2 separate regions of the Mus musculus genome follow, and region 2 is reported to be linked to region 1. Evidence: microRNA targets listed by miRTarBase, many of them from high-throughput screens and not tested one by one. Region 1 holds a microRNA gene; the other region holds the end of a gene's coding sequence.
The links. The annotated mature microRNA mmu-miR-190a-5p reads UGAUAUGUUUGAUAUAUUAGGU and lies in region 1 at 3,685-3,706, opposite strand. An mRNA with a match to its seed (bases 2 to 7 or 8) in the 3' UTR can be bound and repressed. Matches are read on the target gene's strand: a 7mer-m8 pairs with bases 2 to 8, a 7mer-A1 pairs with bases 2 to 7 and ends in A, and an 8mer does both.

Region 2: miRTarBase lists Trim36 as a target of mmu-miR-190a-5p. Seed matches in the 3' UTR shown: 8mer at 4,503-4,510.

Annotation. Positions count from the first base shown.
Region 1 is chr9:67,233,016-67,238,596 of GRCm38, forward strand. Mir190a (microRNA 190a) reads right to left here and starts at 3,711; the gene lies at 3,645-3,711. All of the region lies in intron 53 of Tln2 (talin 2), which reads right to left.
Region 2 is chr18:46,162,833-46,168,088 of GRCm38, forward strand. It overlaps Trim36 (tripartite motif-containing 36), which reads right to left. Exons shown (of 10, transcript NM_001170855.1): 10 at 2,468-4,935. The coding sequence ends at 4,581. Among named protein-coding and RNA genes, the nearest start is that of Gm52355, 23 kb to the left of the region's middle.

The sequences.
Region 1 (5,581 bases):
TCATTTCTACTCACCCCTGCCCCTTGTACTGGGGACTGACTCCAAAGTCTCGCACATGTGAGGCAAACTCTACCACTGAGCTACACTTCCAGGTTCCTCATATTTTAAACATTGCGTTTTAGGTTCTTTACACAAAGCACGTACACACGGATCCCATATTACATGCAAAGACCAAAGCAGGCTTCAAGGGACACGTGATATGGACAGGCACTGTTTTTGGCTTCTCCCTCAGCACTGGCCCAGGCAGTGGATAACTCAGACACTGTCACTGTTCCATACTGCCTTGCACGCCACTTCCAGGCCTGCACCACCCTTCCCCGAGGAGCAGTTCATCAATTCTCTTTGGCCTCTAGCTTAGACATGTCTCCATTTCACATTAAAACTTTCTAAGATGTTTACTGAAATTAAGCAGTTAGTGCATTCTCTTTTCTACCCTCAGGAGTCCTACCTCCTTCCTGATGTCTTTAGTGACCTACCCACCTTCTTTGATGTCCCCTGGGCAAGTATGGGCGGGAGGGCATCTGGCTCCGTAGTCCTCCTTCTCATTCACTTTGTGAATTATGTCCCTGAGACCCTTTACCCAGGAGTAGCCCTAACTTCTGCCTCAGGCTTAGAAAATGTCCATAAAATACTTTTCTCCCTCCTCCCTGTACCCCCAATTTTTCTTGTGACAGTGTCTCAGGCTGGCCTCTAATTATGCATGTAGAAGATGGCCTTGTACTTCTGATCCTCTTGTCTCTTGAATTAGAGGCATGTACTAGCATGCCAGGTGTATGGGGGCTGGAGACTGAACCCAGGACCTCATGTATGTTAGGCAAATACTCTATCAAGTGAGCAGCTCTATCTCCAGTCCATACAGACCAGACTTTTACAAGCGATTACTTATTATTATTACTGTGTATGTGTACATGTGTGTGGATACACGTGTCATGGTACACATATGGAGGTTGCAGGCCAGCTTTCTCTCCTTCCACTGTGGGATCTGGGGATTGAATTCAACTTGCTAGGCTTGCAAAGCAAGCCACTTTTATCCACTGAGCTACCTCACCAGCCCAGACCAGACTTTTTGAGAGCTAAAAAGTACCATGACTCTTCTCCACGCAAGCAGCTACATGTACCAAAGAGCTATTCAAGCTGTTTCTCGCCCTTCCATCATTTCACATCTTGCCACCTTCTGTGTTAGTCTCTTACTGAATGGCCACTACTACAAGAAGGTCGCATTCAGAAGTCAGAAGTCCAGTGGAGTTTTTTAAAAGTGTAAATGTGTTATATGTAAGTTAAATGTCCTCAAGGGAAAAACGGGGGCCAATACCTAGGACTCCCACAACGTGCAGGAGGTCTTTTCCTGACAGTTGGATGCTTGAGTGGAACAGGTGGCCATGTTTTCCTTTCTTGTGCAGAACCTGGCTGCTCCTGCCTAGCTTCTGGTTTTGACTTGAGAGATGCTTTGGGGAGAAAGTCTTGGCCAAAGCATACCATGGCTACATCAACTTGTGCTCTGAAGGACCAGTGGGTTGGCTGGCTCTAAGACCTCCTTCATCCTTAATAAAGCTAACAAAAGGCAAATCTCCCAGAACAGCTGGTACCCTTCACAGAGGCCTGGTCTCAGGGGAAGCTCAGGGTGACACAGAGAAACCACTGCTGAGCAAGTCATGTTAGTAGCTGGATACGCACCACCTTCACATCCAGATAGATAATAAAGGAATAGGTTCATGTAGCATCCATTGGAAAAGCCCCAAGCCTGCACAGTTAGTATCTTGGGAATAGTTTTTCCCCATATAATACAATTGCTTTATTACATTTTTTGTAACTTATATTCAATATAAAAAGTAATACCACTGAGTTGATCTTATAATTAGTCTCTGATGAAAATAAATTCTTTAGAATTCTGTCATACTCTCAAAAAGGGGAAGAAGGGGTCACTTGGACCTTGATATAGGAAGTATGGACAATAGAAGCCTTTCCATTATTCAATGAGATACAGTTTGGTTCATCTTAGGAATCTCTGGTATGAGCCTTCTATGCATCTAAGGACCTAACAAGGTCCTGGTAGAGAACCACCTGGCAATACACTCTCTGCTTGTCTGGGACCAAGGTCTGGCATGTGAGCTCCAAGCCTGTAGCTTAGCCATGCAGAAAACATGTTTGCTTTCCCATGTCACAGAACACCTGTGTGCCCGTTCCCACTCCCACTCAGAATATGAATCAGCCACATGGGAATGCCAGACAGCAGCAGAGTTACCCCCCATCCCAAATCTCACCACTTCTGGCAAGTGTCTTCATCCGAAAGACCTTTTAGAGCGATGCTTAAAAAAACTACTCGTTCACCAATGGTGGCTTCTACATATTCCCAAGTTCCTTTTCTGACGACCCCCGTCAAACTACTCTCCTGCCCCTGTAGGGTAAGAGGTCTTGCTCATCCACAGTTAGGAGTGCCATCAAGAGTTGTTTCCTCCTAAGGTAAAACCAACAAGGCCTGGGAGCATAGCCATGCTATTTCCAGGAAAAGTACTTATATAGTCTCTGTGCTAGACAGCTCAGAGTAAACTCACATACAGTTCACGGACTCATTTATGGGAAGAAGTCAAAGCAGCCAGAGAGGCTGATATATACCCGAAAGAATGCTTTCTGGGTCATAGCCCAACTTCCTGCGGCAGCCAATTAGAGTATTTGTTTACTTTCGGACTGCCGGGTTCTTCTAAATATTAACAACCTCTGTGCAGAAGTTCACCTACAACAGAAAACTCAACCGACAGAGCACAGTCCCGAGCATGTTCTCTTCATCAGACATATCTGATCCAAATTAAGGTCTGCAATTAAGGTTTACGGGCTCACCATCCGTAAAGTGAGCACAGTCACCAGGGTTTAGATTTGTTACCAGAAGCGGAAAGTTAGAGATAATAAATGTCCCGATTTTTTTTTTGGCATGGAAAACAATTACAAAATTTAATCTGTGAGAGTGTGTTGAGAGTTGTCAGGAAGAAATATCTAGATCAATGTGTTTGCCAGTTACAATCCTAACCTTTGTCCTATATCAAAGACACGGGTTGTTATCTTCCATCTTTTTCCACTGAATACTTTTCTTAAGGACTCCTAATTGCATTCAACTAAACTTTAGAAAATATCTTAAGCCTTCAGGAGCTATACTCCCTTTCCACAACAAACAGATAATGTAGTAGTATTGATACAGTTTGTTGTGGTCTGAAACAAAGCATCCCCCATCCATAATAAGTTAGTGTGTCTGAACATTTGGTCTTCAGCTGGCAGTGCCATTTGGCTATGGAAGCTTTAGGAATTCACAAAGCCTTGCTGAAGGACATACTGGCCTTTGAGGTTTTATGGCCTGGCTCCATCTGCTGTCCTATCTCTCTACTTCCTGACTGCCGGCCTTCCCTCTTTGATGGTCTGGCCCCTGATAAACTAAGCCATAATACACCCTTTTGCCTTAAGTTGCTTTTGGTTGGGGCATCCTGTCACAGCAACAGAAAGGTAACTAAGACACAGGTCTTAAAGGCTACACGAAGAAATGGAATGAAACATAACAACATACGCACTCTGTCATCTAAACCTACTTGTGATTTTTTAATATATTTTTTCCTGTTGCTTCTAAACTTTGTTAGGACCCCCGGAGACAGGGCAAGACACTGTAGGAATATGCTTGATATATAGTTGGATTAAATAACAACCTAATATATCAAACATATCACACAGAGGCCTGCAGAAAAGGCATCCAGGTTTGACTGAGCTTGAGAATATGGCTGTGGGAGTCAGTCACCTCTGCAGTATCTCCCAGCCTGCCTTGGAACACAGGCGTGTCTGTAGGTGTGGCAAGGATGCCATTAGCAACAATGCTGGTGGCACACACTCTGAGCCTGGGCTCCTTTCCCCAAATGAAAAGGGAGTCTGTGCACCTGTCTGTCACTCACGTCTGAGAGATTACAGGTAAAGGGAGGTGCTTCCATGGTCAGGGCCCAAGGGTGGAACTACACCAGAACCATCTTCACATGCCACAGACTAGTCTCCTTTTAAAACAGGTAACCTGAGAACCAGGTAATCAAAACAGCTGGAAGTCATCACCCTCCCTCCCTCCCTCCCCAAACTAGTCCTCCAAGCAGCACAGGTGCTCTGCCTGGGTGGAGGATAACCTCATTCACGTGGTATGGGGGTGGGTGGCCACAGTCACTATGGCAAGTATGCAGGAGCAGCTGCCATTTATGGCACCCTGAGGATTTTTGTCTTTAAGGTTACAGGACAGGATGGAGAAAAGTAACCTCAAATATTAGCTGGTTTTGCTGTTTCGGTAATTTTTTTTCTTTTAAGCCGAGGAAAAGTTCTTTTGTAACTGTCAGGAGGATGTTATGCATTGTGCAAGAAGTTTCCCACGGTGGACGGCCCTCCTTGCAAGCCCGGGGCTACATGCTTTGGGATGATAAGCTGCTTTGAGACACTTTCATGGATAATGCCTAGCAGTGTACACATAAGGGGTCCACACAGGCCGCCTCCGGCAACCATCCCTCATTTTCTTTTCTTAAGATTTACTTATTTATTTTAAGTGAGTACACTGGCACTCTCTTCAGACACACCAGAAGAGGGCATCGGATCCCATCACAGATGGTTGTGAGCCACCATGTGGTTGTTGGGAATTGAACTCGGGACCTCTGGGAGAGCAGTCAGTGCTCTTAACCGCTGAGCCCTCTCTCCAGCCCCCCTCATTTTCAATGTGTGTGGTTTTCAAACATTGTTTTCCAGAACTGTAAAACACAGAGCCTGCCGTTCCCTGGTCCCATTTCAAGTCTTAGCTGTTCTTTGCTGATCATCTCCGTTAGTTCCCAGCTTTGTGACATAAGCACTAACCATGGATGCCTAGGTGTTATCATTTCTCCCCATTTTACTCATTCCATAAGCATCTTCACGCTGTACAGTCTGGCAACCATTACTCTTCATTACTGTAACAGCCTCATCATTTCCCTTCAAGAAGACCCCAACTTCTTACTGCTACCAACCAAGCTTCTAGAACATCCCTCTCACACAAGTCTGGGTTTTTTTCCTTAGGAAAGGAACTGGAGACAAGTCTAACAGCCTAAGACACTATAAAGTGCAGTGGTCCTGAGGGACGGGAATCATTTTCTCTGCCAATGGGGTATCAGAGGGAGTACAGTGTTCAGAAACTGGGACCCCAGCTCTATGTTCCCTCCCCACTCAATCACACGGTCTGACAGTGGTGAGGACCAGATAAAATACTTAGGAGACTGGTCTGGACCGTGTCTTGTATTTACGGTAGCCCTGTCGCCCGCCCTCTTACCCAACTAGGGATCCATGAAAGACCTTATCTTCCACACAAAGATGAAAAATGAAGGTGTCAGAAAGCATATGTCTGGTCATAGTGATGGTGACAGAGGTGATAGCATTACCATTTACTAGTCAGGCACCATGTTCTTACGTTATCGACTTATGCTATAAGAACAATCCTGCAGGATGAAGGAGATCCCAGTAAGTCTGTTTTCCAAATCAAGAATGTTGACGCAAATGAGCAACCAGTCAGAGAAAAACAGACAAGAGCTGAGGAGGACCCTAGAGAAGG
Region 2 (5,256 bases), not on the chromosome of region 1:
CTCATGGCTTCAACGCCCAGCACCATGGTGCTCATGAGGGGTGGGGGGACGCTTTAAGTCTTTTATAATTTAGGGTAAAGGAAGAGTATAATTGAATAAGCCAACAATAAAGTCAGATCTAGGAACACTGCCACAAATGTACATGCATCTCCAATAATGACAGAGCGCTACTGGGATTAATTCTGCCTATTGAAGACAATGGAATTCCTTGCTGGAATGGAATGGATCTAACAATTCCATCCACTTGAGAACTGCTCACCAAGATGGAATACACTGAGCAGCTGTGTTCTGGGGAGGAGAATGACTCCTCTGTGGAGGTACAGAGGGGAGGCTGACAGCATGTATTAGGCTTCAGTGAAAAGGTTTTAGGCTTCAGTGAAAACTTAGGAAATGCAATTGAAAGGAGGGCTTCCTTGAAGCTGACCTCACAGTATTTACAAGGAAGGTCCAAATTAGCTCTCAAAGTAGTTCTGAGTTGCCTTGGACTTTGAGCAAAGATTTGATTCCACCATTGTATCTAATACAGGGGCGAGATGGGACTTTGCAAGTATAGTGCAGGGATTACAAGGGCACCTTGCTGTTTAAAACAAGGGCTCAGCTCAGATCTTCCACTACAGGTGTTTGCTTGGCTTTGCCTCTTCTCCATGAACTAGATGTACTGGCTGGTTTTGTGTATCAACTTGACACAGGCTGGAGTTATCACAGAGAAAGGAGCTTCAGTTGGGGAAGTGCCTCCATAAGATCCAGCTATGGGGCATTTTCTCAATTAGTGATCAAGTGGGGAGACCCCTTGTGGGTGGTGCCATCCCTAGGATGGTAGTCTTGGGTTCTATAAGAAAACAAGCTGAGCAAGCCAGGGGAAGCAAGCCGGTAAGGAACATCCCTCCATGGCCTCTGCATCAGTCCTGTTTCCTGACCTGCTTGAGTTCCAGTCCTGACTTCCTTTGGCGATGAACAGCAATGTGGAAGAGTAAGCCAAATAAACCCTTTCCTCCCCATCTTGTTTCTTGGTCATGATGTTTGTGCAGGAATAGAAACCCTAACTAAGACACTAGAGTTGGTTATTTGCAAAATATATCGACAATTGACTAAAAGATTTGCTGGGTGGGATTAATCACTTCAAATGCTTATCTGCTGAGTACCCATTCCAGGCTTTATGCTAACAGCTTTCTGTGCACCCTATTTTAACTCTGGTAGCGATTTAAGAGAAGTGTATCAGTTGCCCATTTCAAAGGACAGGAGATTGAGAGATCAAAATCAGCTTTCAACAAGCTCTTCAAGTTATCTGTGTTCACTGGGAAGCAAGCGTCATGAGCTATCAGCCAATCTGGTCATGGTCAGGTTTACTACCTAAGTTCTTACATTTACTCCACAGGAGCTGCTTTTCAGTGTTATGTAATAACAAAAAAATCGACCAGAACCCTACTATCCTGCTTTCCCGGAAAACAGGTCAGGCTTTTTAATTAACAAACTGAAGTAACCTCAGATTATTAATACAACCCTCCAATGGGGAGTGGATGAGCAAGTCATTATGAAAAAAAAAAAACAAACCCTCAGTCCTGTTGTCTGAAAACCAGCTAAAGATTGAGTCAAAAGGCAGACAGGCAAATCCAGGGTTGTGCAAGGTGTGGTTTATTAAAATCGTATGGAGAGTTTAGTACGTCTTAAGTGGTGGCAAGTGCGTCTCTACACTCCAAGGTAGGAGGAAGGAATTTATGGAAAATAAGACAAAGATGAGTGGAATCCAGCCTTAATGTACTTGGCCTTTAAAAATAAAAAAAGTTAACAGTTAAGAAACCATCTAGAGTCAGCTAAGAGCTAAGGTGCTTGCTGCCAGTCTGGAGATCTGAGTTTAAAAATCCAGGTTAGATACTGTGAAAGAAAAGAACTGACTCTCCATAGCTTGTTCTCTGATACACACACACACACACACACACACACACACACACACACACACACACCTGCACGTAAGCACACAGGCAAACCTGGTAAAATGTAATCAACTGTGGACCAGAAATGACAATATAAGCAGACAATTGAAATAGATCAGCTGCATCATACTAGAATTAAATAAATGTTCAAAATAATAAACTAACATATGAGGTTAAGAGTACTGTGGACTGGAGAGATGGCTCAGCAGTTAAGAGCACTGACTGCTCTTCTGAAGGTCCTGAGTTCAAATCCCAGCAACCACATGGTGGCTCACAACCACCTGTAATAAGATCTGACTCCCTCTTCTGGAGTGTCTGAAGACAGCTACAGTGTACTTACATGTAATAAATCAATAAATCTTTAAAAAAATAAATAAAAATAAGAGTGAGTACTGCTGGTCCAGGAGTCTCCAGTTCCTTTCCACGAGTGCTGGGTAGATCACAATCACCTCTAACTCTGGCGCCAGGGCATCCGCTACTTCTGGCCTCCATGGGCGCTCACATCCATGTGTACATGCACATTCGCATACATGTAATTAAGAATAAATCTTTTTTAATTAAAAAAATTAACATGTGCCACAAAGCATCTTATAGTAAGTGTTCTGTTTCGGTTTTCCACAAAGCAGAGTAAAAAATCCCTGTAGTGCAGACTTGAATAACTACACTTGGCTTCCCTTTATTTATTTATTTTTTATTAAAAATTGAAATTCCACTAAGCAATTTCTATAGAGTGATACAGTGTTTGAACAGCTTCCTTCTCTGACTCCTGTTAAAGCTTTATATTTTAAAACGTCTACAGGACATGTGCTCACATGAGTATTGAGTATCACACTAACCCACACACGGGTGACACTAGCAGCTTTATTGCACAATGACCCAGGTAACACTGCACATTCTCTCTGTTTCCTATGTCATAAAGTGCTACATATAAATGGGAGAGGAAGGACAATCACTAAACACAAATCCTCCACACCTTTCTACACGAGCTTAGGGGTGTGTGTGTGTGTCAGTCAGTGCTGCGTCAGACGCAGTGTGATTGGCCTAACAGGCTTCCATTAAAAATAATCAAATAGAGCCGGGCAGTGGTGGCACACACCTTTAATCCCAGCACTTGGGAGGCAGAGGCAGGCAGATTTCTGAGTTCAAGGCCAGCCTGGTCTACAGAGTGAGTTCCAGGACAGCCAGGACTACACAGAGAAACCCTGCCTCGAAAAAATAAATAAAATAAACAGCTTTGGTTATTCTACTAAAATGTTAACATTCCATACATGATCAGTGCTGAAAACATGTCTTAGTGTCTGGACATTTTAACTTTTAAAAAGGCAATTCAAATAATCAGAAGGTAATTTTGCAGAAATTAACATTCAATGTAGAAAAGATATAAAAACTGACTAGACACATCCTTGTGATTTTCCATATTATTTCCTAGGAATTTTGTACTTTACTGATTCACACTACAAGTGCTTATGACCACACAATGAGCCCACAAATAATGCCATCCAACTGGACAGTAGTAACATGTAACATGTCTGGTATTTCAATGCTGCTGAAAATGGGCAGTGAACTTCTCAGATTTGTAAACAAAAACCATAAAACCCTGATGTACAACATAAGTACCAAACCCATAAAATTCACAAGACACAAAGAGACACGTGTTCACTATCAGTCCATCTTCCCTAGTAATTCTGAAAAATAATTCTTTGCTATAAATATGAATATTTTCTAAAGTAAGAAAATTTGAAGATAACATTTCCTGGAAATAATTATATTGTAGTGAAAAGTTGCACGGGTTCAAGAACCCTGTGTTTTTATATGAAACGATGCTTGTTACATGTGCCAGACAATGGGCATTACAACAAGGACACTGTTAGAGATGTCCTTACTAATACAGTCTGTGGTCTACAGGGAAAAAAGCAGTATTCATTTGCCAGGCGATGAATATTCTCAGTAGTTACACACTTTAAAATACACAACTTTCTACTTAAATATACTACCATTTTATGGCCTTTGTCATTTTACCTATCTATAAATTTATTTTTCTATTAACATCAAATGCAAGACACATGGCTTAGTACTAGTTTCTATCAGTAAGCATTCAAAAATATCTTCTCTTTGGACATGAACATGATACAAAATGAAAAGGAAAAAAAAAAAAACAAGCTCAAAGAACCACAATAAATACTTTGTATCCCACCCCAGCCCCCAAACAAAGGGACATGAATAACCAATTAGACTTACATCAATTAGAGTCCCTGTGGCCAAAGAGAAGGACTTCCATTGTAAAGTTATCTATTCTAGACCAGTTAAGACAGAAAGCCTCCACTCCCACCATTTGTAATAGGTAGGACAATGACGTGGAAGAGACAAGGTTGTGAAGTCCTTCTGAGTTTTAAGAACCATACACTAGCTGGGGATGGTGGTGCCCACCTATAATCCTAGCCCTCCAGAGGCTATAACAGAACAGAGTTTGAGGCCCGCCTGGACTACACAGCAAGACCCTGTGTGTCACAGCAGGACAAGACAAAACAAAGAATCACACAGTACAAACAGGTGTGGTGACAGAGACGTAAATGATATGTAATTAGATTAACATCAAGGCATGGCTTTGTTCACGGTTCTTATCCTCATCAGTCACGTGGGGTGTCCAAGCTACACATCCTCTTCATATTCCAGATACTTTGCTGTGATGGCTTCCTCAAGCTGAATTCCTCCGCTGCCCATCAAGGCAAAGGCCGGATACATTGTATGCGAACAGTCCACCTGGCGCTCATACAGGCATTTCATGTGGTCCATATCATAGAAGCTCACTTTGCCTTTATCACAGTCAAGGAAAATCCCTATACTCGTTGGCATGGGGAGAACTCTGTTTTCTGGTTCATTAGAGGAAGTAGGTGACTTGGGTATAAAAAATTTCTTCATGCCTATAGTAACTAATGTAAAGGGCTGTGAAGAATCAAAACAGGCGTCCTCGCTTCCACTGTCATGTCCACTGTCTTGCTCATATCTACAACACAACAATAAACACAGTGACTCACCTCCAGCCACAGTCTCGCAGGGTCTTCAACATACTCAAAAAATAATGCACACTGCTCTAAAGTTAACACACACACAAATGTTCCATGAACACACCTAAAGCACAGACTATAAGTTGTCCTGCAGAGTTGTCCTCTGTGCTCAGTGTCAAATTCACCACAGTAGCATCCATTTTTATCTAAATTTAAATACAAATAGCAACTTAAAAGCTTATTTCCATTGGAAAGAAATCAGAAGAATCGAGGAGCCTAATTTGAGATTAAATATGTATGGTAAGTCATAAAATAAAAAG